4 linked regions of the Elephas maximus indicus genome follow. The protein of the gene in region 2 purifies or fractionates together with the protein of the main gene of each other region. This does not show direct contact. Links are inferred from orthologs where the notes say so. Each region holds a gene or a part of one and is shown on either strand. Other genes may lie near its edges.

Evidence for each region.
Region 1: the proteins of KRAS (region 2) and HSPD1 purify together in Homo sapiens (affinity purification with mass spectrometry; 3 studies listed by BioGRID and IntAct, with this or other methods). This does not show direct contact. The link is inferred for Elephas maximus indicus from reciprocal best matches to the Homo sapiens genes KRAS and HSPD1.
Region 3: the proteins of KRAS (region 2) and PRDX1 purify together in Homo sapiens (affinity purification with mass spectrometry; 3 studies listed by BioGRID and IntAct, with this or other methods). This does not show direct contact. The link is inferred for Elephas maximus indicus from reciprocal best matches to the Homo sapiens genes KRAS and PRDX1.
Region 4: the proteins of KRAS (region 2) and HNRNPA0 purify together in Homo sapiens (affinity purification with mass spectrometry; 3 studies listed by BioGRID and IntAct, with this or other methods). This does not show direct contact. The link is inferred for Elephas maximus indicus from reciprocal best matches to the Homo sapiens genes KRAS and HNRNPA0.

Annotation. Positions count from the first base shown.
Region 1 is NC_064824.1:95,839,819-95,847,049, reverse strand, and holds the start of HSPD1 (60 kDa heat shock protein, mitochondrial), read left to right. Parts: upstream 1-4,213; 5' UTR 4,214-4,277; intron 4,278-4,372; exon of another isoform or gene 4,373-4,465; intron 4,466-4,564; exon of another isoform or gene 4,565-4,655; intron 4,656-4,938; exon of another isoform or gene 4,939-5,001; intron 5,002-5,554; 5' UTR 5,555-5,556; coding exon 5,557-5,730; intron 5,731-6,857; coding exon 6,858-7,110; intron 7,111-7,231. Other genes in the region: MOB4 (MOB-like protein phocein), read right to left, coding at 3,184-3,348, 4,008-4,010. UniProt on the Homo sapiens protein: Chaperonin implicated in mitochondrial protein import and macromolecular assembly. Together with Hsp10, facilitates the correct folding of imported proteins.
Region 2 is NC_064822.1:83,951,809-83,958,952, forward strand, and holds the start of KRAS (GTPase KRas), read right to left. Parts: upstream 3,004-7,144; 5' UTR 2,733-3,003; exon of another isoform or gene 2,720-2,732; intron 1-2,719. UniProt on the Homo sapiens protein: Ras proteins bind GDP/GTP and possess intrinsic GTPase activity. Plays an important role in the regulation of cell proliferation.
Region 3 is NC_064821.1:87,927,551-87,935,518, forward strand, and holds the start of PRDX1 (peroxiredoxin-1), read right to left. Parts: upstream 3,006-7,968; 5' UTR 2,905-3,005; intron 1,236-2,904; 5' UTR 1,225-1,235; coding exon 1,119-1,224; intron 1-1,118. UniProt on the Homo sapiens protein: Thiol-specific peroxidase that catalyzes the reduction of hydrogen peroxide and organic hydroperoxides to water and alcohols, respectively.
Region 4 is NC_064820.1:150,740,616-150,747,814, reverse strand, and holds HNRNPA0 (heterogeneous nuclear ribonucleoprotein A0), read left to right. Parts: upstream 1-4,187; 5' UTR 4,188-4,494; coding exon 4,495-5,418; 3' UTR 5,419-7,026; downstream 7,027-7,199. UniProt on the Homo sapiens protein: mRNA-binding component of ribonucleosomes. Specifically binds AU-rich element (ARE)-containing mRNAs. Involved in post-transcriptional regulation of cytokines mRNAs.

The sequences.
Region 1 (7,231 bases), on a different chromosome or scaffold from region 2:
CTTGGGAACTATCACCTTATATCCCAAAACCCATTTGTTTGGGTCTGCAGCAAACAGCAAGAGGCTAAGTGGAAAGCCATGACCTTTGGACTGGATTCCTAATTTCGCAATTTATCAGCCACATGGCCTTGAATACATTTCATCTCCTTTGAGTCAGTTTTTCATTAGAGAAATCTGTGCTCACAATGTTACGATATTCACAGCAACATTATCTAGCTGTGCCTGGGGCAGAGTAGGAAATTGGTGACCCTCTTGGGTGCTGTAAGAAAAATGAGATTTTAGTCATAATTCTTTTATCTAAATCCTGTGGCTAAATCCATATACATGGGAGGTATATACTAACTACACACATACACAACATACATAAATTTTTTTTTTTTTTTTTACATAGCACACTATTATTCCCTGCCGCTTATAATTTCCAAGTCCACTCAACATAAATGGAAAACAACTTTAAGATCACAAAATAGTTCATAAGAAACTAAAACTAAAAAATAAATTTTGCCCTTTTAAGACAGAAATAGCTAGTAGCTGGTAGTCAGTTTAGGGGCTGTTATAATCAGCTCTGATACAATACTATCTGGGTTCAAATCCTAACGCTACTGATACCACTAAGAAACACCAGAGCAGGATATTTAACCACTTCTGTGACTCAGTTTCCTTATGTGTTAAATTCAACAAATTATTAGATGTCAAAGTCCCAAGAAAAAGGAGCCCTGATGGTGCAATGATTAAGCACTCAGCTGTTCAAAGGTTGGCAATTCAATTCCACCAGTCACTCTGTGGGAGAAAGATGTAGCAGTCTGCCCTGTAAAGACTGCAGCCTAGGAAACCCTATGGGGCAGTTCTACTAACAGCACACAAGTGCTGGACAGGAGACATTGGGTGGCACAAATGGTTACTCAACTACCATCTGAAAGGTTGATGGTTCAAAGCCAGAGGTACCTCAGAAGACAGGCCTGCGGGTCTACTCTGTAAAAGTCACCGCCTTGAAAACCTTATGGAGCAGTTGTATCGTGCACATCCTGGGTTGCCATGAGTGAGACTTACTTGACAACCAGGAGCCAGGCATTGTTAGGTACCACCCACCACCCTTACCACAGGTGATTATCCCAAGGATTAACTAATGTAATGTATATCAAGTGTTTAAAGTATCTATCTGACACAGTAGCAAAGAGAAAACTTAAAAGTATCAAGTTTTCAAGCACAGCCTCTGAAGGCGTGCCAACTGCTATGACTAAACCGTGGCTTTGTTACTTCCCGCTGAATGACCTTGTTATTAATCCTTCTGTACCTCAGCTTCTTCATCTGCAAAATGGAACAGTACTTAGAGCTCCTATGTCAACAATATATGCACAGCACCTACAACAGCAGTCAGCAACCTAGAAAATGCTTACTAGTGTTAGCTATCATTATCACACGGTGCCTAGTCTGACATTCAAAAAGCACTGTCAATGTTAGCTAATGTATCCTGCCTTGGATTTTTTTTTTTTTTTGGCCAAATAAATTACAAACTAGAAACGTTCATGTCACTAAATAAATTTTGCAAAACCTTGAAAACATAGTTTCTAGGAGTTAAGAACAGTACTTTACCATTACAAGCCTGTTATGTTGTTTATATATTTTAAACTGTAAGTGTGAACCCATTGATTTTTATCAGCATGATTTATGTAATAAAGCTACATTAAGTGTGAAAATGCCTCTATCTAAAAAACAACCTTGTTCCCCAGAATTCTCTATGGGTTACTGGGAGAAAAAAAAAGCATATACCACAGAACCCTAAAGTCACTAAACAAAAATCAACCATTGATTTACATTTTTTTATTTAGAAATGTTTGTACTAGTACAGCAAAACTAAATTTTAGAGATGCTGGATATCATTAGCTTAGATATCATTAGTTTATTACAAAAAAAAAAACATGGAGATTATTTACATGATGAAAGATTTCAGAACTTCATTGGAATGGGCAGCTTCATGTGATGCCATTTCAGTATTGATTTATTTCAATCTACATACTTCCCAAGGATGTCACCATCTCTAAATAAGAAATAATCCTGTAAAAAAAAAAAAAACCGTTAGTTAAGACAGTTAACAGTAAATAAGTTCTTTTTAAAGTTACTAAGGTTACACACCTTGTCATCCAGAACTACTTTGGTGCCTCCATATTCTGGGAGAAGAACTTTATCTCCAACTTTCACGCTAACTGGCTGAATTTCTCCACCCTTAACAATATAAAGATATTTACCGTTAGCTCACCAAATGTTTACGTGTAACTTTTAAACCACTATAATCAACCATATATGCTTACTCAAAAATGTTAAAAATGCATTTAATGGGCAAATAATTTAGTTGACAACATTTTCTTTTCACCAACAGCAATATACGCTTTTACTGCTAATTCTTCAGTCATTAACATCCCCTTAAAGGGTTACACTTTTAAAACAATACACATGTCCCGACTTAAATCCCCATTTCAGTGTAAATGTTCAAGGGGTTATGCTGGAAAAGCTAACTTTAATTAACTAAAGCCAACTCCGTATTTGTTAAATATTAACCTATTAACTATACAAAATATACCAAAATGGTCATGTTTACCTTCTTACAACCTACAGAAGTTTTCTGTACTTTAAAACATAAACTTCTTTTGTAATTAATTTATTTTCCCTCCAACGTACAGATGATTTCCAGGGGAAAAAGCTGATGCAGAGGCCCAGAACTTCCCAATGCTTAACTCCAAGATAGCTTCTTGCTAGAACTTTCTCTCTTCAGAGCCATCTGGAGGATGCATTTAACATACTTCACCTCAAGGGCATTTACTGTGTATTCTGGCTGACACACTTAAGAGACCTAAGATCCAGCCACTAAATCCGAGAATACCTGGAATGGTAATTCAAACTGTTCCTTTCATAGGTATTCCAACAAAACCGCTCTAAATTCTTAAAGCCCTGGCACTTTAACTGAACCGTAATCTTTCATTTTAACTGTAATTTTAATAATCTGGAAATCACCATCCTAAAAATCTCACAATCATTTTTTGTCGAAGAAGCAGATTAAAGGTGGTTGAACCACGGAATGATTTTAAGATGGCACAGCTATTAAAAAGGCTGCTTTTAATAATAAACCATGATTTCTTATTCCACCCTTTCCCTGCGCACACAAAAAAATTTTTAGACCTCGTTTACCTTTCCTTTAGATCCGGATCCAACAGCTACTACTGTTGCTTGCAGTACTTTTCCTTGAGACTTTTCTGGAAGCATAATGCCTCCTTTGGTTACAGTTTCAGCTGCACTCCTTTCCACCAATACTCGGTCAAAGAGGGGAAGAAACTTCCTAAATGCCTGTCCTGCCTGTAGAGACGAAGTTTTTACTTGTAGCAAAAAATCACATTCTGAACAAGCAATACCAATGAAGGCGTTACATCGAAGGACACATTCTAGCTCTCAAAAATAAACACCAAAAATCATATTACTAATAGAGGAATCAAATTTCAATGTTCCACTCTACAGTCCACGTTTAATTTTCCATTCCCTGTATCTGTTAGCAGTCGTCGTTGCTCTTCCAGTCAGTAACTGTACCAGCTTTAAGGGCAATTTCAGCTTATTTCAAGGTCAAGTATTTTCCTGCCGCAGGTTTTTCTGGAAATTTTCAGGAAATGTAGACAATCCCCCTTCCTGGGTCATGCTCTTTCTCCAACAGATTACACAAAGACCCAGCGGAGAAGTAAACTGGCCGCCCCGCGTGTCTGGGTTCCCGCCCCCTTCCCCACACTCATGCTGCAACAGGACACGTGCGAGAACAGCCCTCGGCGTTGGGAAGGGTAGGCTAGGCCCTTGCCTTCCGGCTCGGACGACTTCTCCTTGAGGGTCTCCTCTATCCACGGTCCAGGCGAGTGGCGGACACTAAGTCACCCCTGCCTCTCCGGCCAGGCCCCAACGGGGCTCTCCGGGCTCTCCATGCGCCTCAGACCGACCCAGCCCCGCCAGCCTCCAGCCCACACGGGACTCACCATAGTTCTGGTAGCTGCAGCCCCTACCCAGCTTCGCTACGCCGCCGCAAGGAGAGGCCTGCAATCTGGCCCTCGGGACACGTGAAAGTGGGAAAAGAGCGGCCAGCGCGCAGGCGCGGTCTCCCGGCCCCCGCCCCACCCTGCGAGGGGGCGGTCGCACCTGCGCGTGCAGCGATTCGTCTGAGAGCGCTGCGCAGGCCGCTGACGCGAGGATCTGGAGGCGGAAGAATTGAGCAGTTCTTTCTAGGCTTTTCTAGGCCACCCGAAGAGGTGAAGGAACTATCCCTCCGTACCCCCCCCGGAAATGATGCAATTTAACCCTTGACCTACAGAAAGCGCGGTGCTTTCCGGAAAGTTCTGGAACCGAGCGCGGCCCGGGAACTAGCCTAGCGGACTGGACGGGGCCGAGCCCGCTGGCCTGGCCCTGCGCGCGTAGGAAGGGGCGGGCTTCGCGCGCGGTGCGTACAGATTGCAGGGCCCGGCCCGGGGGAGGGGGCGGGAGTCGCCCACACGTGTGGTGCGGCGGGGCGGGGGGAACGGCAGGGGGAGGGGACACGGGCTCATTGCCGTGTGCGTCCTGCACTCTGTCCCTCACTCGCCGCTGACGGCCTGTCTCTCTGCGCTCTCGCTCGGCCCGCCGCCCCGCAGGTACGCGGGCCGCCTCACCCTGATGCCTCCGACCCCAAATCTTTGCTTCGTCGGCTGCGGCCCGGCCTCAGTGTGGCCGGCGGAGCGAGAGCCAGGAGTTCCCCGCGGCGTTGCAGGCCTGGTCCGACTGGGCCAGGCCTCACTAGTCTATGTGGGCTCTCATCACGTGCGGCACTGAGCGCGGGCCTGGGCAGGACGCGGGAGGGAGGGCTCATTCCGCGGGTAGAGTCTGCGGGGCGGGGGAGGGGAAGGGTTGTGTTCACGTGGGCCTTCTGGTGCAACCCGCTCGTGGCCGACGGTGGTCGCTGCCGCGTGGGAACCGAGTTCAGTTCCGGGGGCAGTAGGGGTACGGCGCTTCCACCCTTGACCTTGCTGGGGGTGTTCTGATGGACAGATACCTGGGGTCGCGCGGAGTGGGCCGGGTGGCCCCCGCCAGCATCGCGGTCTTGCTAGCTGGTCTGATACAGTAGCCGCGGGTGGATACATGAAATCCGTTTTTCCTGAGCGGATTTCTGCAACGTCAGGAATATTTTCACTTCCCTAGTCGCTCTGGTGTATAACGTGCTTCTCTCCAGCTGGCTTGGATTTTTAGGAGCGCCAATGGAGGGGATTTGTTTAGAGGGCCAATTTAGCTGTGAAACATTACCTCGTTTTTAGCGGCAGGAGAAGGTGGTCATGGAGAAGGAAATGGGTGTTCTTTGTGTTTGTGTTACAGAGCAGGCACTATTGAGCCTTTTGATTTAAGCTTTTGCTAGTAGCTGGTGTTCTGAAGCCGTGGCGCGTTCTGTGGCTAGCAGAGGTCATACTTAACGTTTCTTATTTATTGCACAGGTGGCGTGTTTTGAGCTGCAGCGCACCTCGAGTAGTGCTAGTACTCATCTGCTTTTTTTCTCCTCCAGAAATGCTCCGATTACCTGCAGTCCTTCGACAAATGAGGCCAGTATCCAGGGTACTGGCTTCTCATCTCACTCGGGCTTATGCCAAAGATGTAAAATTTGGTGCAGATGCCCGAGCCTTAATGCTTCAAGGAGTAGATCTTTTAGCTGATGCTGTAGCCGTTACTATGGGGCCAAAGGTATCAGTATTTTATTTTAATTATGATATTTGAGGAATGATATCTTACTGTTGCAGATAGATACACTGAACTATGTAGTGTTACTTTGGTATCCATTTTTTGAGAAAACCAAATTTACATTAAAAAGTTACAAATTATTGGTTAATTTTTTTGTCCTTAACTGTAAAGGTCATAAAACCTAGTGTTTCAGCCAAAGTTTCAAAAATAATTTGCATAGTGTGTGATGTAATGGAGTGGTAATTCATAGCTCAAGATGGATTCTTAAACTCAAGATGGAACTCATATCGCATGCTTGTTCACTTACATTTTGGACCTTTTTCCAGTAGTTAGTGCTGGGTATAGAGGGCAGAGTGTAACTTTTTATCTCCCATAATACCTAAAGTATGTGCTTGTATGCTAGTTTTACCGAGAGTTTTTCTGCTATTCTTGTTCTAAAGCACATTTATAGTTTAAAATCTTATTTGACTAAATAGTTTCAGAGGTAATAAACATCTAGAGGAGGCCTTTGACGGTGGTGTGTGGTTGAGTGGTGTTCCATTTTAGATTGAAGACAGTTCAGATACCAAAGTAATCCAAACTGTAAAACACAGGCATTTGCATGCCTCATGAATAGAAAGTAGCAACGTCGGTGGGTTCAAATCCCAAACCTGCCAGTACTACTTGTGCCGGATTTGAGGTTTAATGTTAAATAAGCTTGGATGGAGCTTATTGTTCTTGCCTTGATAAGTAAATTTTAAAGTGAGTACTTGTTCTGAAGATACTAGGCACTAAGCACAATTTAGGTACAAATAATGTGAAGAATGTTCTAAAATTTCATTAATGGTCTACCAATTTGGTATTGATTTATTGTTCATTATATAAAATGACATCTTTTAGTTGTTAGAATCTTTATTTCTCATAATACCTTATCAAAAATTATGTATTTGGCTGAGTAACAGAGGTTATTTGCCTATGAACTGACTGTTGACCTTGTCCTTGAGATTCATGCTGCAGGACTGATGAAAAGGACACATCATGCGTTGAGGCTTTCAAGTAACTGTCCTATTATTAAGATTGTTCATTCTGTTTTAGTCTAATTACTAAGAGTATATGGCCCTGTCTTTTTTTCCCCTTCTCTGGGATTCTAGGGAAGAACAGTGATAATTGAACAGAGTTGGGGAAGTCCCAAAGTAACAAAAGATGGTGTAACCGTTGCAAAGTCCATTGACTTAAAGGATAAATACAAGAATATTGGGGCCAAACTGGTTCAGGATGTTGCCAATAACACGAATGAAGAGGCAGGGGATGGCACCACCACAGCTACTGTCCTGGCACGCTCTATTGCCAAGGAAGGCTTTGAGAAGATTAGCAAAGGTGCTAACCCAGTGGAAATCAGGAGAGGTAGGAATGTCTTTTTATTTATCAAAGTGTCTTGATAATACGGTGTTGGTTCCCAGGACCTAAGGAAAGTGCTTGTTAAAAAATTGATTCCTCCTCTTTACTAAAAAATCTTAACTGATTG
Region 2 (7,144 bases):
CTCATTTTTGCTGAACTTCGATTTTATCAAACATGATGTCGTTTTCTAGCAAATGGTTTTTCAAATGATGTGTCCAAATGGGAGAAGAGGAGGGGAATCACACCAAAATGTATCCTGTAGCTCCACTCTCCCCACTGCCCACCAAAAAAAACCCCACTGTGGATAACCTAGAACAACAGTTCTCAAAATGTGGTCTGAGAACCCCTTGGGGTTCCTAAGACATTTTGGGGTCCAAGAGGTCAAAACTATTTTCCTAATAATAATAAGATGTTACTTGCCCTTTTCACTCCCATTCTTTGACAAGTGTATAGAGTTTTCCAGATGTGTGATTGCAACTGATTGAATGCAGACACAGATATGAGAATCCAGATGTCTTTTAATAACCGGAACATTAAAGAGATTTGCACAAGTGTGAAACAATGCTACTCTTCTCAATAATTTTTGTTTGGGTTTTGGAAAATAGTTATTTTTCATAAAGAATTTCTTTCTATTTCTAAATGAATAATTTAAAAATTTTTTCAGTTTCACTTTCTAGTATAGTAAATACTGATACATCCCACAGAAATCAAAGCTTTTTGAGATCGTCAACAATTTTTAGGAGCATAAAGAGGTCCTAAGACCAAAAAAGCTTGCTAGCCTAGAAGACAGTGTGGGCAAGTATCGTATTAGAGTTTAGTAGTACATGCATGTGCGAATTCAAAGACATACATCTTGGAATCTACTTGTTTATGCAGTGTTTGTTTCTGGGGAGATGGACCCTTAAAGAATAATAACCAAGTAATATTTAAATCCACTAGAAAAAAATGAGTTCCAAAGTAATCTTATTGAAAGGCACAGACCAGAAGGGCCTCCCTCATCCAAACTTACAGAAGCTAACAAGGGGTAAAACTGGGACTAGACCTCAACAATTTTTGTTAAGCAAAAAAATAAAATAAAAAGTTCACTTTTGTCATAAAAACAAATTACTATTTATCAGTTCTCTTAAAACCAAGTACTCCTGTAGATGGCTACAGCCTCAAAGTAAACAGTATTGACATCAACCATAACTGATGTCCATAAGTCTGTCACATGTTCAAGTCAGCATTTTGGATCTTAAGTCACCTAAAAGTGACACCAGTCATACGGTTAATTCTGAGATGACGGTTACAAATAGACTTTTTTCTCTTTACAATTTTAAGTCATTTTTTTCATTGAAAACATAACATGTATACCAAAACCAAACTCCTTGCTGTCGAGTCAATTTTGACTCATAGCAACCCTACAGTCACAATAAAAGATTAAAAAAAAAAAAAAAACATTGCTGTCAAGTCGATTCCGACTCATAGCGCCCCTATACGACAGAGTAGAACCGCCCCATAAGGTTTCCAAGGAGCAGCTAGTGGATTCGAACTCCCAACCTTTTGGTTAGCAGCTATAGCTCTTAACCACTACGCCACAAGGGCTCCATAGCATGTATAGTGTGTAAAAATCGAAAAATACCTTTCTGTCCTTAACCTCTTGTTTTGATGGATATCGAGATTTAAGAAGGCTAGATTAAAACTTCAGCTATACCATGCACATGCCTAAGAGTATTTCAGGCAGTTAGTCTACTGCTACAATCAACTTCTCTTATAAGCCAGTTAAAAAAAAAAAAACGTAGGAGTGCTGTTAAACGGAGTACTGTCGTAACTCTTGGGGTAGGCAACAAATTTGTAACGATAAAAGTAATACAGAAGAGACAGAGGGAAAGGACAAGTACAAGCAAATTAAACTGAAAGTTTAATTTGCTTGTACTTGTAATTTGCTGTCTGCATCACTCAACTAGCAACGAAAAAGCCTTGCTTGTGTTCTAAAGGTTTTCTCCGTGTGTTTTAATTTAATAAAGCAAAACGGACCTTCTGCGATTAACTTTTTCCTTTTCACTGTAGGTCACAGCCTCATACTTTACATGTAGGGTGTTGGCCACCTGTTCTTCCACCACCGTCTCTATCTCCACCTCCTCCTTTGTGGCCACAGCAATGTCACAGCCCATACATGGGGGAGGGGAGCAGTCAGGAACTCGGCTGCAGATGCATTTTTTTCCAAACACAATAACCTCAAACGGTGGTCTCTAAGCACTTTTCTATGCTCTTCCAAAACCTGACCTCCCCTCTTAACCACACATCCCTCTACACACTGAAAAGGCCCACTATCCATCCAGCCTGCACTCGAAAGAGTTTATACCTTCGCCCTAGGGATGCTAGATACAGCAGAGAAGACAGAAACCAAGGCAGTCGAGCGCCAGGGAACAGAGGAAAAGGTGCGGGAGCAAAGAGAGAGAGGGATAGGGAAGGACAACGAGGGGGTGGGGACACCGGGGCGCTACAGGAGTAATCTCCACCGCACCGGACCGCCCCGAGAGGCAGCCGGCCCGGCCCGCGAGTTTCTCCTCGGCCGCCTCCAGCCGCAGCTCTCGGGGAGGAGGAAGGAAGGGGTTCCCCGTCCAGGAAGCAGCAGAAGCGGCGGCCGCCTCTAGCCTCACCCTCTTCAGCCCCACACCGCCCATTCCTCACTCCCCGCGTCGCCGCGTCCCCGCAACTCCCCCTGCAGACCACCCCCCGCACGCCCGGGCTCCGCGCCGGCGCCCCCTCCTCGGCCCTCCTGGGACCCCTAATTCATTCACTCGCCGCCGGCCCCGCCCGGCGCCGGCGCAGAGGGTCGGGACTCGGGCAAGGGCCCAGAGGGGTGGTCCGCTCCGTACCTCTCTCCCGCACCTGGGAGCCGCCGTGCCTCTGGCCCCCACCGCCGCCTTCACTGCCTGCGCCGCGCTCGCTCCCAGTCCGAAATGGCGGGGACCGGGAGTACTGGCCGAGCAGCCGCCACCGCCGCTACCGCTGCCGCTGCTGCTGCCTCCGCCGCCGCGGCCGCCGCCTAGGGAAATCGAGCTCCGAGCACACCGATGAGTTCGGGGCCGGGCGGCCGCAGAGGGCAGAGCTATCGATGCGTTCCGCGCTCGATTCCTCTTCTGGCGGGCGTGCGGGGAGGGAGCAGTCGAGGGCGGTGTGGGAAGAGGGAAGAGAGGGAGCCTGCGAGCGCCGCCGGGGAGCAGGAGGGGGCGGGCCGACCGAGGAGGGCGGGGGACGGGCTGGCGGCCGCGGAGGGGGCGGGCCGACGGAGGAGGGTGGGGGCCCATCGAGCGTTGGAAGGAGGGTCTGGGGTGGTGGAGGAGGGGGCTGGGGCTGCGGAGGAGGAGGGCCGGGGCGGCGTGGGCGGTGCCTCCGCAGGGAGGGGGGGATGCCGGGCCCACGCGGCGGGCCGCCCCCAGCCCAGGCTCCCGTGTCTGAGCGGCCGGCTCGTTGGCAGATTCCGACTCGCACAGGCTCGCGGTTGGCTGCGTGCACACCAGAGACACTATAAGACACCCCACTGCACCACTATCAGATCTGCACGGGGAAGCTACGAAAATTTCGCCACACCCTGGGGTAGGCCTATTGCTGTGCACTTTCAGTTACTATCATTTATTGTATGTAAATAAATATGCAATCACCAAATATGGAAAGCGACTTTGGCGACTCAGAGAGAAGCAGACAGTTCACCCCGGGGCAACCAGGTCGCTACCTGATTTTATCAGCACGGGGGGCGGATTACCCAATAAGCAACGCACTCACGGGCTTAATTATGCTCATTTACTAATCTGTAGTGCACAATTTCAGCTGGTTTTACGTGGTGAAATTGTGCACTACAGATTAGCAAGTAAACGCAATTAAGCCTGTGCGTACCTTGCTTACTGTAAACCAGTGCATACCGCTCTTTCTGGTTAATCCCTGATCGGCATAGACGTTCTGGTGCTGGGAACCTAGCTCCAGGCCCAAACAATGCTTTCATCATTAATTTTACGGGATGGAGCTGACTTTTCTTGGCATTTTGGAGACATCACAATGTCTCTCCAAACTGGCACCTCAGATGTACCCATTGGTCATGGAAGCCTTAGCAGAAGACAAGCTGTTTTGAAGTAAAAGTGCCCTTGATAGATTAAAGGACAATCATTGAGATTTTAATTAGAAGACTGAAGATTATTTAGTTAACCTTCACAGAATAAACACATTAACAGTGGAGCAACTAAATATGCTAACAAACCCAGCGACTGTGCTGATTAACTACTTAAAAAACAAAACAAAAAAAAGCCCCTTGCTCTCCAGCCGATTCCAACTCTACGAACCTATAGGACAGAATAGAACTGCCCCATAGGGGAAAAGATTGAAGTTGTCAAGGATTTCATTTTATTTGGATCCACAATCAATATTGATGGCAGCAGCAGTCAAGAAGTCAAAAGATGCATTGCATTCAGCAAATCTGCTGCGAAAGACCTCTTTAAAGTGTTGAAAAGCAAAGATGTCACCGTGGAGACTAAGGTGTGACTGACCCAAGCTATGGTGTTTTCAGTCACCTCCTATGCATGTGAAAGCTGGATGATGAATAAGCAAGACCAAAGAAGAACTGATACCTTTGAATTGCGGTTTTGGAGAAGAATATTGAATATAACGTGTACTGCCAAAAGAACAAACAAATCGCCTTGGAAGAAGTACAACTAGAATGCTCCTTAGAAGAATGGATGTCGAGACTGTGTCTCACATACTTTGGTCATGTTGTCAGGAGAGAGTCCCTGGAGAAGGACATCATGCTTGGTAAACAGAGAGTCAGCGAAAAAGAGCAAGACCCTCAATGAAATGGATTGATACAGTGGCTGCAACAATGGGCTTATGCATAACACCGATTGTGAGGCTGGCACAGGACCAGGCAGTGTTTCATTCTGTAGTACGTAGGGCCTCTATGAGTTGGAACTGACTGGATGGCACGTAACAACAAAAACAACATAGGGTTTCCAAGGAGTGGCTGGGTGGATTCGAACTGCCAGCTGTAGCTCTTAAACACTGTGTCCCCAGGGCTCTGATTAATTACCTAGAAAGGTAAATTGGGAGAGTTTTTAAGATTGAGGTGTGGCAGACCAGCACCTATACTTAATATAGACCCATCTGAGTACTTCCAGTTCTGTCCCTCTAGTCCAAAACATACACCACCAATAAAACAATTGTCTTAAATCCCAACTCTTCTGTCTGTTAACCAAGGCCTTATAAGGCCAACTTTTCTTCCTTATTTCTTCTTTTCCTACCCTTTAAAAAAAAAAAACCAAACCCAGTGCCGTCAAGTCGATTCTGACTCCTACCCTTTATATGGGCTGTGATCTGCAAGGCTTATTCCTGTCTCACTTTCTTAACACTCAGGCATCAGGTAGAAGAGGCAGAAGAAGGAAGGCAGGGAATGTGCCTCCTCTATGTCAACTATGCGCTAAATGTTGTACGTGTATCTTCTTTAATGGTCAAAACAAACCTCATGAAGTAGAATATTTTTTCTCTATTTTACAGAAAAAAAAAAAAAAACATTGCCATGAAGTCGATTCCAACTCATAGCGACCCTACAAGACAGAATAGAACTGCCCCATAAGGTTTCCAGGGAGCAGCTGGTGGATTTAAGATGCCAAAGAGGAAACCAGTTAAAGAGGTTAAATGTTGGGTCCAAGTTCACAAGCTAAAATGTGACATGTCCTTCAAGTCAGATCATGTTCTCTCCTATGCTCCCAGCTTCCCAGTGACTCCCATCCCACTTAACATAAAAGCCAAAGTCCTTTCAAAGGCCTGCACCACCTTAGATGGTTTGCTGACTTTCTCTTTACCTCTTTTATCCTCTTATTCTACCTACTGCCTATCCCATTACTCTCCCCTTCTTCATTCCACACACACACTGGGTCTTTGCTGTTCCTGGAACATTCCAGGCAGGCTTCTTCTTCTGGGAGTTTGCACGTGCTGCCCCTATGTCTGAAACACTTGTCCACTCTATATCCACCCTCAACCTACTTTAAATCTTTGTTCAAATGTCTTCTTTTAATGAGGTCTTCCTAAAGATAATCTTTGATGTTACAACTCCCCTTCTTTCCCCCAAATCCTCTCTCTCTTCCTGCTTTAGTTTCCTCTAGAGCACTTATTGCTTTCTAATACAGTATACACAGCCCTGGTGGCGCAGTGGTTAAGAGCTATGGCTGCTAAACATTCATCAACAATTTGAATCCACCAGCCGCTCCTTGGAAATCCTATAGCTCAGTTCTTTTTGGAATTGATTTGACAGCAATGGGTTTGGTTTTTGGTTTGATATACTATACAATTTGTTGACTTTTATTTTCTCTCTTTCTCCCAATAGAATACAAGCTCAAAGAAGACAGGGATTTTGCCTGTTTTTCTTACGGGTGTATTTTCAGTGCTTACAACATCTCTGAAACAAATAACACACTCAATAAATATTTGTGGCATGTCGAATGAATGAAGCCATGTACCCTCTTCCTGAACTCTGTGACTCCAAATCCTTACTGAGAGTGCCGTAAGTGTCTGCCAATCTCTGTCGTCACCACTTTACAAAATCTGCCTTTAAACTCTCCCAGGTCACCTTTCTGATAAACCTGTGGAGTCTAGAAAAGTGTCCAGTACATAATGGACACAATGAATTTTTGTTAAATGAGTGAATATTCACTTATTTGTATGTTACTTTGTAGTCACTCTTAGGTGTCAATCACAGATTTATTTTGTGTAGCTTCAAGTATGTGATAAGCTCTTAGATTCTCTTACAGAAACTAATGCAGTGGTCTCCCTGTAGGTGGCCCTCTATAAATCTTAAAAGACCTGTAGTATAAAAAAAAAAAAAATAGAGGAGGGAAAAGCTTTAAATAGCATTTGAATGCTAATAATATAAAAATTCTGACATCAGCAGAAACCTAATCCATCCACATGGTCTTAGTTACCTTCTCTAGGCTCTTGATCCCCAAAAGCGAATCTGCATTCCACTATTCTCTCCATGAACCCTCTACCCCGGCTACAGCTCACACACTTTTCTCTCCTTCCTTTTAATTCCTGCAGCAACTTTTGTCTGTTCTGTCAGGCCTTCTCACCATTCAGCCCTGGGTGCTTTCTCAGAAGCCAGCAGCCTCACCCCATCACTCCCGTTCTTCCTTGACACAGAGCTTAGAGCAGTGGTTCTCAAACTTAAGTGCTTAATGAATAACCTGGCATGCTTGTTAAAAACACCAGTTCTTAAACCTCTCATCCAGTGATTCCGTTCAGTTGATCTAAAGTGGGTCAGA
Region 3 (7,968 bases), on a different chromosome or scaffold from region 2:
CATTTACTTTATTCCCAGGTAGCCTTTTTTTTTGACATTTACTTTGAAAAGGAAAGTAACTAGAAGCTGACTCATCTAAATAACTCCTCCAGGGCTTTACCTAACAAGCACTTTGAAGCCTCAGCAGATCAAGCCCTGGAGGGCAGAGAGCTGCTCCTCCTAGACCTAATGCCTATACTCTTGGGCCAGGGTCACGTACCTCTGGTGTTACTTACTTTGTCAGGAGAAGCTTCCCTCCACAGGGCCCCACTTACTTGCTCTCATCACCATCGAACAAGTGCGACGTGTTAGGAAACCTAGTTAAAAGTTCTACCCAAAAGCCAACTCCAAGAACCAATTACTACACCACTAAGGGAAGTACACTTGAGTTCGAGGTTTGCATTCTAAGAAATCTTTATCCCAGAAGACCCAGGTGCTCTGGGACTGCAAGAAAGGAATGGCCTCATTAGAGACTGCCAAGTGTCTGCACGTAACTAAGGGGAGTTGTTTCAGCTGTGACATCAACTCTTCTCTGGCGCGGGGGGGCGGGGGCGGCAAAAACAGTCAAGGGAATGGGCCTGAGCCCTCTGCCTAATAACGTAATGGCTGTGACACACACATTTCACAAATGACCACTAAGCTGTATCATAGCCCAAAGACTTGAGAATATAGCAAAAAAAGCAAACCCGTTGACATCAAGTTGATTCCGACTCACCAGCAACCCTACAGGACAGAGTAGAACTGCTCCACAGGGTTTCCAGGAGGGGCTAGTGGATTTGAACTCCCAACCTTTTGGTTAGCAGGCAAGCTCTTAACCACTGGGCCTGGCCAGGCGTCTTAACAGAAGAGATGATAATGAAAACAATTCAGAAGTACTGAGAAAATCAAATTGACCTAATATGGTTACATATAATGAAGCATGTGCCTTCTCCAGAAGAAGTCTGAACCTACAATATCTATTCTGTAAACACTGATCATCACTCTTTTGCTTCAGCATAAAGGTAACAGAATCCTGCCCTAAAGGCCTTGTCCTGGGAGATACAAAGAATTTTAGAATCAAATGTAACAGATACCAAAATTTAACAAGTTATCTCTGGATCATAATTCCATTATAATGAATCCCATGTAATTACTCTTACCTTTGTAGTCAGACAAGCTGATATCTTTGAACTGACCATCTGGCATAACGGCTGTAGCTTTGAAGTTGGGGGCAGGGTGCCCAATTTTAGCAGCTCCTGAAGACATCTTGTTATCAGCTGGAAAAGATAAAAGAAAATGAATTAAAAACAAGTCTTGTCTTTTTAGATACAAGGTAGCTCTCACCTACTTAGGGACTTAGTGGTAGAACCAAGAACAATCAGGTCCAGTGGTCCTGAACACAAAATTTTTATCATTAGTAATGCAAGCCAGCAGCCAAGAGTCACAATGGAAGGGCCACAATCTGAGCTTTCTAATTTCTGGACCAAACCCAGATGTTACAAAAGTCTCTGAAATCTCAGTCTTTGTTTTCATCTAAAAAGGACAATTTTTTAGTAAGTCGAAGTCACCTTTTCTGAGACATTATGAACCGGCATTTTCTTCTGCCTTTTCATTATACAGAAGCACCGAGAAGGGAGGGATAAGGTAGAGACTCTCAAACCAGAACCCAAGTACACAATGCACAAAGCCACCAACGCTGATTGCCTGACTCCCACAAGCCCTCATGTTGCCTTTCTGCCGACTGCACCTCCATCTATAAGATGTAAAGTGCACTGGAACTTTCTCCAGGTGGATGTGCCCAAGAAAGCACACGCCCTAAAGCCAATCCAGACCAAGATTCTGGCATCTGCTCAATTTAAAAACTTTAGGTATTGGATTTAGCCCTAGAAGTCTTTTCAAAATGGGTGTCTGGCCTCGGGGCCGAGATCCCGGAAGAAAAATCAGTGCCATCAAGAGTTCAGTTTAATGCATTGGATTCGCCCAGATCAATACCAAGATAAGGAGTTAAGATTTAACTCAATTAAGTTACCGGTTTGAAAACCCTAAGAAACTAATTTTCCCGTAATGCCCAAAGTTCTCGGTTCATAATACAATCAAAGGAAACGTTGTGCGCATGCCTAGAATCGATCTTCGCAAAGGTTTCACAGCCTGTATAAAATAAAAACTATTTTAACACCCTTTAACAAAGAAACCGTAAGGTACGCTGCAACTTGGCGACGGGGTGTGGCCCTAAGAGAAACAGGCTTCTCGTCCAAACCTGTTTTTCCAGGTGACCCCAACACCACAAAAGCCCGACCAACCAAGAGGAAAGTCTGCTGGACTTCCGGTCGGTGCGGCGCCCTCAGGAGACACGCTCCCAAACCCCCTAGAGAGGGCCACGCCTGCAAAGCCCAGTTCAGGTACCTTCTTGCCGCTCCCAACGTCACCCTCATCCTAGTAGTTCGGAAATCGCCAGCAGAAAAGATTGCGCATTCTTCAGCGAGGGAATTTGGGAAAACCTCACAGCAAATCACAGCTGAAGACCGGGGCCGCTTTCACCTCTACCACACAAAGACCGATTACGGGTAACCTTCTGCAGCCACAGCTCTGGTTCTAGGTCCACTCCAGAAGCTTCCCGAACCCGCCCTGCCTCGCAGGAGGCTAGCCGTGGAGCTCCCACGCCGCCTCACCCAGCCGCGCGCCAAGCCAACCAGCACACTTTGCTCGAGGGAAAGAGACTGGAGCGGGTGTAAGCCTCGGGGCTCAACCAGTCCCCGAAAGCACAAGGAGATGCGCAACGCGGGGTGAGGGGACCGCCCAAACACTTTCAGGCGCCAGGCCCCCGCGGGCCGCCTCGCCGGTCACGGCGCCTCCAACAGAGACTATGTGAGCCCCGGAGAAAAGCAAGAGAGCAGAAAGTAGCAACAGGTGGGGGGGTTCGCGAGGCCAAGCTACCTAGAGACTCACCAGTTGCAAAACAGAAGGCACCAAGATCAGCCAGGAAAAGAATTTGCGGAGCTTGCGTGGGGCGCTGCCTTTATAGTTTCTTGGGCTCTCGCGAGAGTCGGCGTGGGCCGGGGGTGCAGGAGGAGGAGAGGGAGGGGGAATCTGCCCCACTCGCAGTCGGGTCCCATCGCGCCTCGCCAGAATGACTCAGCACTTCCCCTCGCTGAGGGGCGGGAGTGGTCGCAGATAGTACTAATCGCCCCCAGTCATCACTGCCGCCACCAACGGCTGAGGTCGGAGAGTGGGATGCACTCTCGGCCGCCCTCAAGCCCAAAGTCCTCAATTAATTTATGATCTCAATGGGGGCCGGGATTCCTTTACTTCTAGGACCCCTTGCGCGCTGTGCCCTTAAAGCGCAAACCAGATTAAGGGTCCTCGCTGTCGCTCACGGAGGACATCCTGGGAACTACACACCAAGCCCTGAGAGAAGTATCTAAATACTTCTCAAATCGTCCCAGTCACCGCAGCGTCTGCCAGATGACTAGTATCCCTGGTTTCTGTACCTTGGATAAAAATATAAAGCCGCTTTATTATTCCGATTATTGGCTGAGCTGTTTTCCATCTCCCATCCATTCCTTCCACTATAGCTGAAGGGAATCTTATTGAAATGTGATCATGTCACTCCTTGGATTTGTGATTTAAAAACCAGGGCTCTGTAGTCAATTCCCTGAATTAAAAGCCTTATGATTTTGTTTTTTTAATTGTGCATTGGGTTACAGTTTACAGAGCAAATTAGTTTCCCATTTGATAGTTTGTGCATAAAATGTTCCATAAAAAATAGCATTGGTTTAATTCCCCACGATGTGTCAGGACTCTCCCCATTTCCTCCCTAGGTTCCCCATTTCCTTTCGTCCTGATTTTTTACCCCTCCCTGCCTTCTCATCTATCCCTGTGGGCAGATATTGCCCTTTTGATTTAGTTCAATTGGTTGTTCTAAGGAGCATGTTCCTCTCTAGTGTTTTTATTTTGTGGGCCTGTCTATGGTCTGGCTAAAAGATAGTCTCTGGGAATGGCTTGTTGTAGGGAAAAAAAAAAAATCACAAAGTTTAGTAAAGCAAAAAGAAAAGTTTTATTTGGCATATATGCAAAGAGGCAAAAGTGGGAAAAGGACAAGCATACTGTTAGGGCCTTGTCTGCCCAAACTCCAAGCAAATATTACAGAATAAAGTGGGAAAATAGACATGCCTGCTGCTAGAGCCATGTCTGTCCAAAGAACAATGCAGAATCATCAGTATATATTAACATTACAAATAGGCAAAACCATTAAAAGTTTTACCTTTTCACAAATGGGCTAGAAACCGTGATCCTATATTTTGAAGTGTCTTTCTTAACAATCATTGGTCTAGGCTTCAGTAATGATAGGAGGGTCATCATTGGCCTAACAAATCTTACTATTCACTAAATGCTAGTAGAAAAAGGTAACAATGGAAACCATATGGGTCTTCTGTGCTGTTTTACTAGCTTATGTGGAAGATTCCCTAAAAGATGTGTTCCAAGATTGTCCTAGCCATTGTCTTTATGCCTCAGGGCCCAGTTTATGTGTCCTTGTGAGTCTTTGTGGGTCTTAATTTAGAAAATAATATTGGGATTATTATTCCCTGTCCTTGAGCATAGAGAATGTTACCCAGCTGAAGCTGGGCCCACAAAGAGTCACAAGGACACATGCGCTGGGCCCAGAGATAAAGACAATAGATAGAGCAATCTTAGAAATTATCTTTTAGGGAAGAAAAATATCTTTTAGGGAACTTTTTACATAAAGCCAATCAAACAAAACACAAAAGACTTTGCACTCTTACCTTTTTCTATTAACATTTAGTGAGTAGATATTTGTTGGACCAATGAAGACCCTTCTGACTGTCAGTTACTGAAACCTATACCAATGATTATTAAGAAAAGCAATTCAAAATGTAATACCACAGTTTCTAGCCAATCTGTGAAAAGGTGAAGCTTTCAACGATTCTACCCATTTTTGTAATGTTACTAATGTAGCCTTCCTCCAGCTTGGGGCAGACATTATTAGCTCTGGCAGCATGCTTGTCTGCTTCCCACTTTTGTCTTTTTGAATATATGCCAAATAAAGCTTTCTTTTTGGGTTACTAAACTTTGTGATGTTTTTTCCCCTACAACAGTCCTTGTGAGTCCAGCTCCAGCTGAGTCACATTCCAGGACAAGGAATAATGGCTCCAATATCATCTACTAAATCATTCCCTCCTTTTGATTGGAAGTTGGAGATAAGACATCGATGATCAATACCTGGACTTAGTGGAGCTCCTAGATGGCGGCCATGGTAGGCTCTTTAAACTCACAGTGCTGGTTTTCCACCAGATACCATCTGGTTCTTCACCAGAATCTTAAGTAAGAGCAACGTTCTCATTAATTGCGTTGCTGAAGTAAGCAGACTAAATGTACATCAACATTTTAGCTCGAGGCCTCCTTTTGGCTTTTAGGTGTGTAAGACAATAGAAGATAAATTTTATTATGCATAATACTATCAGGATACAGACTAAAAATATTACTATCCCTTGCAATAGTGATCTAGCCCATGTACTTATTCCTGATGGTAACCAACTAAATAAATCTGGTATTTGTAAGGGTATTACAGTGTGTAACCAAGTAGCCTGTCTAATTCTATGTATATCCTGTTCTACTTCTCCTGTGTTATTTATCCAAATGAAACAAGAGGTATTTGCTACAGCACAGATTACACTTTCTTGGACCAATAAAAAAATCTAAGGCTATTCCATTATCTCATGTCACCTTGGCTTATGAGGTCAGAGATTGCTGTTGTGTTTCCACCCCATTAGCAACTTCATCTATTAGTTGCATAGTGATTGATAAATTTCTTAAAGATTTCTCCAATTCAACTATACCATAAGTAGGAATTAAAGCTACCAACAATACCCTGAGCGCTAAACCAATGAGTTTTCATCTGACTTTCATTTTACAATGTATAACAGTTTAACATTACCTTTCCAATATTTACTGGCATCATTACTATGAATATCTAAAGGTAATCCTAACATTCCCAAAGTGCATTGCCCATGCATTCACCAGAGATCTAAACAAGAGATTGCCCACGTAAATTCACTATCAATTGGAAAGGAGTCATCTAAACTAGTATAGTTGGCTCTACCACATAAAAACATATATCCACAAGGAGACACAAAGTTTGTCTGGAGAAAACAGAAAATATAGAAAAATTTACATGTGACAAACAGAGAATTAGAAAATTCACGATTAGCAAGATAATAGAGGATGGACCTCACCTGTTGGAGATCGTCAGTTAATCTCTTTAAAACATAATAAGTGTTCTTCCTGAGTGCAGGCTGCCCCTCTTTGGTTTATCTATTAACAGTCATGAGTCACTTTCTCAGAAGCAAAAGTGGAGCCTAAGACAATATGGAGTCTGAACCATGAGGTCGACCTCCTCTGAGAACCTGGTTTCTTTAAGATACATAAATTTCTACATAGTAAGAGGGTGAGAGTTTGATTATAAACGTTAGACTGTCTTGAAGACTAATTAAACGGATTACTGATTTACCCTAAACGTAACTCTCAGTCTAATCTTTGGAGTCAGTTTCCCCAAAAGACTGAATTCTTCAAGGAACCCTTTTTTTCCTCAAAGCTCAAGGTTCAAAATGACACCCAAAGGCAATAGCAAAGTTGTAAATATAAATGTCTGAAGTTGGAGCTATAATTTTAAAATATGAAATAGAACAGCATTTCCTATTATGGGTTACTCTAACCTCCATGAAAGCCAGAAATCTGGATTCCAGAAGAATTATAACTCTTTCATGGTTCCCTCCTTTGGATCATGATCTTGCTATAGAATCTTTGATCAAAAATGCTCAATAAACAGTAATTGGGCACCATCTGGTTTTTAAGATCCCAGGCACCATACAGCGAACTAGGAAGTAGAATAGAAACACTAACAATAGTATGAGGCCAACTGTCTGAAATAACTAATGAAACCATGACCCTAAGGTCTTTGAACCAAGAAAACAAATTTCATGAGGGGTTTATTTATGCATAAGCCGCATCAGTAACTGCTTTTCATGTTGTCTCAGTAGCAACTACATTCTGCAAAACCTCAGGTTGTGTATTTAAATAAATATAGCAACATTTATCCGTTAAGGCACAAAACTGTTCCTTGAGAGACTAATAGGAAATGCTGTTCTATTTTATAAAATTATAGCTCCAACTTCAGAAATTTATATTTACAACTTTGCTAAGTTTACCAACAGGAACTTCTAATTCAACAGTTAAAATATCCAAACCCATTAGTTAGATAATTTAGGAGAAAGAAAACAATTTCTTATATCTAGAAAGTAGAACCTTAAAGCATCAACAACATTCCCACATAAAACCCATAGTATCCTTTACTCAATCTTATGTAGTTAATTTCTGTTTCAGCTGGTCTGTAAGCCCATCAGCCTCTGCATAAGAGTTCTGGAAATTTTATTCAGTCTAGTCACAGTCCTTTTCACAAGTCCAATACAGTCCATCTTTTTGTTGAGAAATTTGGTCAAATGTTTTCAGCAAATCAGCAAAGTAAACACTTATCTGCAGATGACAAAACTGAATATGGCCATAATTAACTTATATAAATAACACTCTTAATTGTGAAACACTTGATAGAAATTAATTACAAGCATAATGTAAAGGCCAAATAAAATCAGTTAAAACACGTTAGATAAAAAATAATACTAAAAATAATGGTTAACCTTATTTCCAAAGAGCTTCAGATATAATACATAATAATCTTAAGACATAATACCATATAGTCAGGATATACCAAGATTGTCAAGTCTCTAAATACCTGAATAGTAATAAAAAAAAAAATTCATAGGTAAATGATGTGAATTCCCCAATCGAACCACTGATTTAATAAAGTTGTAACCCAGTTAGCAAGTAAGAAATAATAATAAAATTATGACACAATCTTATTCATTTATTGTCTAATATTTTCACTATTAGGCAAAAACATAAGAGAAAACACTAACATATAAATTTTAACCCAAAGAG
Region 4 (7,199 bases), on a different chromosome or scaffold from region 2:
TTTAAGAGGAAGTTGTAGAAAATGTGTATTTAGTCTCCAGTGCTTAACCCCGGTGGCATAGTGGTTAAGAGCTATGGCTGTAAACCAAAAGGTCGGCAGTTCAAATCCACCAGGCGTTCCTTGGAAACCCTATGAGGCAGTTCTACTCTGTCTTATAGGGTCGCTACGAGTCGGAATCGACTGGACGGCAACGGGTTTGGTTTTTTTTCTGGGGAGGGGGAGGTTTAGACTGTACTTTCATGAACTCCTAATTGTAGTTCTTGAATCACTTTGATATAAAAAATAACATTTCTGAGGCCTTTGCCCTTAGAATTTATTCTCTTGATGTAGGGCTCACTTTTTTTCTCCCTCTTCTGACCCTACCTTTAGCCCCTCCATTTTTTGGTTCTTTGTGGCTCTTCCACTAGAGTAATCTTCAAGTATGAAGATTCACATGTAAACTGAACAGTAGGTGTTCTCTTTGCTTAAATGGTCATATTGCAGCTCCTGCCATCTGTGCCCATATGAGGTGAATCATCCACATTAATGATTGAAAATGACAGTCCTTCTTGAATTTTAAAGATTTTTTTATTTTGAATTTGAAAAATATAAAAAGAATTCAGAAGGATATGTACATATATGTATTCCTGCCTCTTCCATTGCTGTCAAGTCCATTCTGACTCATAGTGACCTTATAGGACAGACTCAGACTGCTCCAGATGGTTTCCAAGGCTGTAAATCTTTATAGAAGCAGACTGCCACATCTTTCTCCCATGGAGCAACTGGTGGGTTCAAACTGCTGACCTTTTGATTAGCAGCCGAGCGCTTAACCACTGTGCTTGGGTTCCTTTTCCTGCTTCTAGTGCATTGCATTTCCTTTGCCTGGCATGTTGGGCACGAACTCTTTTTGTGTGATAGAAGTCAAGGTGACAAAGAATTGGCAGATCTTGAGCAACTTAATGCCTAAAAGTCTCAGTTTCTTCAACTAGAAGATTGACATTATAAAACATACCTCTCGAGATCCTTGTGGGGAGTCAATAAGATAATGTATGACAGCACAGGGCACTGGATTGGAGTTCCAGTGGGCATTTGCAAGACAAAAGTAGAGATCACTGAATCTTGTATCATTTAGAATTACATGTAAACAAAAAACAACAAATGTAAACAGGTGGGGTTTAAATAAGATAGACTTAGTTCTCTCTGGAGTCTCTGGGCGGTACAAATGGTTAATGAACTCAGCTGCTGATCAAAAGGCTGGAAGTTCAAGTTCACCCAGAAGTACCTTGGAATAAAGACTTGATGATCTACTTCCAAAAAATCAGCCATTGAAAAACCCCATGTTGCACATTTCTACTCTGATGTACATTGGGCCGTCATGAGTTGGAATCAACTTGATGGCAACTGGTTATTTATTTCTCTCTGGCCTAAATTTAAGCCCCATGGTAGGCAGTCTTTGGCTATGATAGCAGTCTCTGGGTGTTCTGAACTCTAGTTTCCTTCTGGTGTTTAACTCCAGCTATCATCAATGGGGTATGACTCTCAGCTTCTAGGTTCAAGATAGTTACTGGAGCACCAAGCCATCCCATATACATTCTAAGCTGCAAGATAGAGGTAGTAACAAAGAAGGAGAGGGAGAAGGAGGAGAAAAAGGAGGAGAAGAAAGAGGAGGAGGAAGAAAAGGAGGAGGAGGAGGAAGAGAAAGAGGAGGAGGAAGAGGAAGGGTGAGGGGGAGAGGGAGGAGGAGGAAGAGGAAGGGTGAGGGGGAGAGGGAGGAGGAGGAAGTAGTAAAGGGTATGTGCTAGCTGTCTTCTGAGAAAGTTTCCTAGAAGCTGCCACTCAGTATTTTTGTTTCCATTTCATTGACCAGAATGTATTCACATGGCTACACTAAACTGCAAGAAAAGCTGTCTTTATGCCCGGAAGCGAAGTGCCCAGCTAAAAGTCGTAGATTCTATTAGGAGGCAGAAGGGAGTACTGCATATTGCAGTAGGCCACATCTCCACTCTCCCCTCTCTTATGCTACCTTCCCAACAACTGTGAAACAAAAAAACCCACCTGGCCTACCTCCTCAGTTTTCCTCATTTTGGTGAATGAAACCATAATTCACCTTACCATAAAATAAGAAACTTTACCCACCCAAACCAGTGGATCACTAATCACTACATCCTGTCAATTCTGACTCCTAAATATCTCTTCAGTATTTCATCCTTCGTAACCAATCCCTACTGCCTCTTCCTTTCTTCTGGCCCTTGAAACGTTGACTACTGTTATATGAATTTACTTCTGACTCTTGAAATGTTTATTAGTATTATGTAAATACTAGCATTCTAAATGGGCTCCCTTCTCAAGTCATACCCTGCCTCTAATCACTCTCCTACACAGCCCACTCTCCGGCAATCTTTTTAAATGTAAATTTCTGTTATCCTTCTCCTTAAAACTCTTCAATGGCACCATGTTACAGAATTAAAGGCTGAAATCAGTAAGACATACACAAGCCTTGGCTCAGCCCCTACTTACCTTTCCAGCTTCATTTTCTCTTGTTCCCACTCAGGCAGGCAGAATAATGCCCACCCCCCTACCAAAGATGCCCATGTCCTAATCCCCAGAATCTGTGACTATGTTATGTTACATGGCAAAGGAGCATGAAGGTTGCAGATGAAACTCACGTTGTTAATCAGTTGACCATAGAGAGATTATCTTGGATTTTCTAGGAGGCAGAATAGTCAGTGTCAGAGCGATCAAATGTGAAAGACTCACTGGCCATTGCTGGCTTTGAAAATGGGAGGAGGCCACAGGCCAAGGAATCGACTGCACGGCACCTGACAGCAATACTTGGGGGCTCTTTGTCACTTAATAACTATGTCACACTCCATGTATCTTGCTTGGCACACAAAGGTTCAATAAATGGAAGCCATTATAATTTTTTTGTATTGCCACCTGAGTGAGGCCCCTTAAGGCAATTATCAGGGCCTATCGACTCGACGGCACTGGGTTTTTGTTTGGATTTATATTTATGGAAACCCTGGTGGCCTAATGGTCAGGTGCTACAGGCTGCTAACCAAAAGGTTGACGGTTAGAATCCACCAGGCGCTCCTTGGAAACCCTATGGGGCAGTTCTACCCTGTCCTATAGGGTCACTATAAGTTGGAATCGACTCGACGGCCAATGTGTTTGGTTTTGGTTTTATTGGTATTTATCTATAAAATGTTTAGTTACCTTCACTCCTAGTCCGATAGAAAACATTTTTAAAAAGCTAACATTTTAACTGAGAAGGCAACGCATAATGTATATCAAACTTAAAATGTGTGCACTGAGGTAAAATTAAAATATCTGCAGTCGAGGGAGGGAAGGGGGCCAGGCGTTTCGCCTTGGTCGGAAACTCTGCCGCGCTTTTTGCGCTCTTTCACATTGCCTCGGGCTCGATTTGCGCAGGACAACGTGTCAAGTGTTTTAGCTTAACCGCACGTCGGGCCCACTGTAAACGGTTAATAACTGCCTTTCTGGACCAGGCCTCTACCCTCCATCTTTATACGGAGGAAAGGCGCCTACGCCAAGTGTAGCAACCAGGCCTAGAGGCGACGGGTAAACCTAGGCCCCCAACCCCAACAGTCAAGTTTTCAAAAAGCCCGCGCGTGGCGCCCCAGGCCGCATCCGTTGAGAACGGCCCCCAGCGCGCCTCCGCTCCCTCCCCCGCCAAACCCCCGGCTGGAAGAAGCGTAGGAGCGGAAAGCAGACTCCGCACACAGGGGGCGCCGGGCCCATCGCGCGTCAGGGTGCGCGTCCGTCCAGCGGCTCCGGAAAACGGAAGTGGGTGCGAGGAGATTGCTGTGATTGGCTAAACTGCCATGTCTCTCAAGGGGCTGGCGCGAACGCCACTGCGGAGTTGGGCGAAGGGAACAGGAAAGGGGAGGGGGCGAGTCACCGGGAACAGCTGCGGGGCTGGGAGGAAATGAATCGTGGAGACGCGTCAAGCGCAGGGAGAGTTCCTCTTCAGGGCACATAGGACACCAGAGAGTGGAAACGGGGCGGTACAGGTGGTGGCAGGAGCCACTAGGTCGAGGGATTGAATAGACCGCGGAGGGCGGGAAGCCCGTGGTAGAGAGCGGCGCTGCGGCGCAGGAGGTGGGACTAACAAGAGCAAGGCGGGGATTGGCGGTCAGCCCTAGGCAGCCGTACGTCGGCGGTGACGCACACCTCGGGGAGGGTGCGCGCGCGTTCAGCGGCCTCTTTGTGTGGTGCCCAGATAGGGGAGCGGAGGTGGCGGCGGCGGTAGCGGCTGCCTTGGTTGTCTTCCAGTTTCCTCAGCTCGCCCTCTAGCCGGCACCTCTCCCCTTCCCTCCCCTTTCCTTTTTTCCTTCCTTCCCTCCCCTTCCCTTCTTCCCTTCCCCGTCGGTGACCGGCGGTGGTGGCTCCAGCGAAGGCTGGGCCCAAGCTTTGAAGAGGCCTTAGCCAACGATAACGGCGACGGCGAAACCTCGGAGCTCGCAGGGCGGGGGGAAGGCCCGTGCCGTGGAGATGGAGAATTCTCAGTTGTGTAAGCTGTTTATCGGCGGCCTCAACGTGCAGACGAGTGAGTCGGGCCTACGCGGCCACTTTGAGGCCTTCGGCACTCTGACGGACTGCGTGGTGGTGGTGAACCCCCAGACCAAGCGCTCCCGTTGCTTCGGCTTCGTGACCTACTCCAATGTGGAGGAGGCCGATGCCGCCATGGCTGCCTCGCCCCACGCCGTGGACGGCAACACGGTGGAGCTGAAGCGGGCGGTGTCCCGGGAGGATTCGGCGCGGCCCGGCGCCCACGCCAAGGTTAAGAAGCTCTTTGTAGGGGGCCTTAAGGGAGACGTGGCCGAGGGCGACTTGATCGAGCATTTCTCGCAGTTTGGCACCGTGGAAAAGGCCGAGATTATTGCCGACAAGCAGTCTGGCAAGAAGCGTGGTTTCGGCTTCGTGTATTTCCAGAATCACGACGCGGCAGACAAGGCCGCGGTGGTTAAGTTCCATCCGATCCAGGGCCATCGCGTAGAGGTGAAGAAGGCCGTCCCCAAGGAGGATATCCACTCCGGTGGGGGCGGAGGCGGCTCCCGGTCCTCTCGGGGCGGCCGAGGCGGCCGAGGTCGCGGCGGCGGTCGAGACCAGAACGGCCTGTCCAAGGGCGGCGGCGGCGGCGGCTACAACAGCTACGGTGGCTACGGCGGCGGCGGTGGCGGCGGCGGCTACAATGCCTACGGAGGCGGCGGCGGCGGTTCGTCCTACGGTGGAAGCGACTACGGTAACGGTTTCGGCGGCTTCGGCAGCTACAGCCAACATCAGTCCTCGTATGGGCCCATGAAGAGCGGCGGCGGCGGCGGGGGAGGAGGCAGCAGCTGGGGCGGTCGCAGTAACAGTGGACCTTACAGAGGCGGCTATGGCGGTGGGGGTGGCTATGGAGGCAGTTCCTTCTAAAAAAAAAAAATTTAAAAATGCCTGGGAGTGGCTATAGGGGTAGCTCTTTCAACAACCCAAATGGGGTCAACTCCTAAGTCCCTTCCCTTTCCCACCGCCTTCCCCATTTTGCCCTCGTGGGAGCCGCTAAGGCTGCCTCCCCTTGGGGGTGTTGCCCTATTTGCCTGCCACCTCTCTTGTCTCTCCCTCTGAAGATGGACTCGGCCCCACATACACATTTTTGTGTTACAGTCATTGATGGACTCTATTTTTTTATTATTACTTGGACCTTGGTCGTTTTTATACTAGCAAAATGTCTTGTTTTAATTTGTGTTTTTTTTGGGGGGGGGAGGGAGTGAACTTGCTGATTCTGTAGCAAAACCTGGGTGGGGGTTGGGGTGGGGGGTAGTTTACTTTGTTGTAAGGACTTGATACCTGGCTGCATCGTTTTCTATGAAATCTACTGGGATCCCATGCCTGAAATTTGGAAGCATATGTACAAAAATCATTTTTACGTTTTATTTTTAATAAATCATTGTGTTTGACCGTATAAGTCTAACCTTTTTTTCCTAGGATCCATTCCGTACTGTTTTGAGGAATATTAGTTGAAGGTTTTTCGTGTTAATTTTTAATTCTTGATGTGTGCTTAGAGAAACTTTTAAGAAGTCCTGTGGGTTTTTTTTTTTTTTTTTCCTGTTGCCCTGCTAGTGGCTGTTGAATTTTATCCCTTAACAGGCAAAACTTTTGAAGTGGTGGATGTGGCTTTTTAAACTCTTTTTAAGTTTCTATGCATCCATCTCTTGTACTTAGCGATTTGCTTGTCATCTTGACATGGTTGGTCACTTATTTCTATGAGAATTTACTTCAAAGTATGTATTGTGTAGTTCTAAAGAAATAGTTTGTGTTAAGCATGTGTTTTCATTCATATAAACTGTTTAAAAATTTTCTGATGGCCTAGTTTCAGCCCTCTTATTGGTTTGTAGGTAATGAATGGTTACAAATAAGGGTTATATTTTACCCTGAAACTAATGCGTTTTTGTATTTTCAGAGCAGGTTTAAACGTTTTTTTTTTTTTTTTTTTCCTCCTGTACCTGAACCGTTGTCCTCATGGAAATCCTTTCCCCCAACCTTTGTAGCACCATCTACTGGCAGAATGGCAGTATATCTGCAAAACAATTTGTTAAAAAACTTGCTTAGGACAATTGCATCAGATTTGGATGTTTTACCATCAAAAGTCTGTGCTGACTTGGAAGTTACACATTTACTTGTAATTGAAATGGGCTTCACAGAATGTAGTTAACAATCTGTATCACAGTTGCCCTTTCTACATGAGTTTTGAAAATGTACTGCTATGCATAGCTTGGGTAATAGCCCCAAATTGCTATGACAACAAATGAGCCAGCTACATGTACTGGTATCTTAGGTGCAAGTTGTAAAACAAAATATGTGTACTCTGCTTGGTTAACAAATGTATATTTGTAGCCCTTTCATGCAATAGAATTCAAGTTGTTGTTTATAAAAAAAAAAAAAAAAAGAACAATGATAATAGGAAAAAATTGCCTTCCTGGATAGAAATATAGAATAGCAACGTTTATGGATATCACAAATAAAGAATTCAATTCTTTACATGATTGAGTGAGACTATGTATAACATGGTGGGTGGGTTCAGAGTATTTATTAATCTAGTATGTTTAACTTAATGTCATAATAAATTATTTGACTTAGATCTTGCAGTCAAAAGCCTGAACCTATACCAAGAAGCCTTCTGAAAGGGAGATTATTGGGCTTGGAGGTATTTGAAT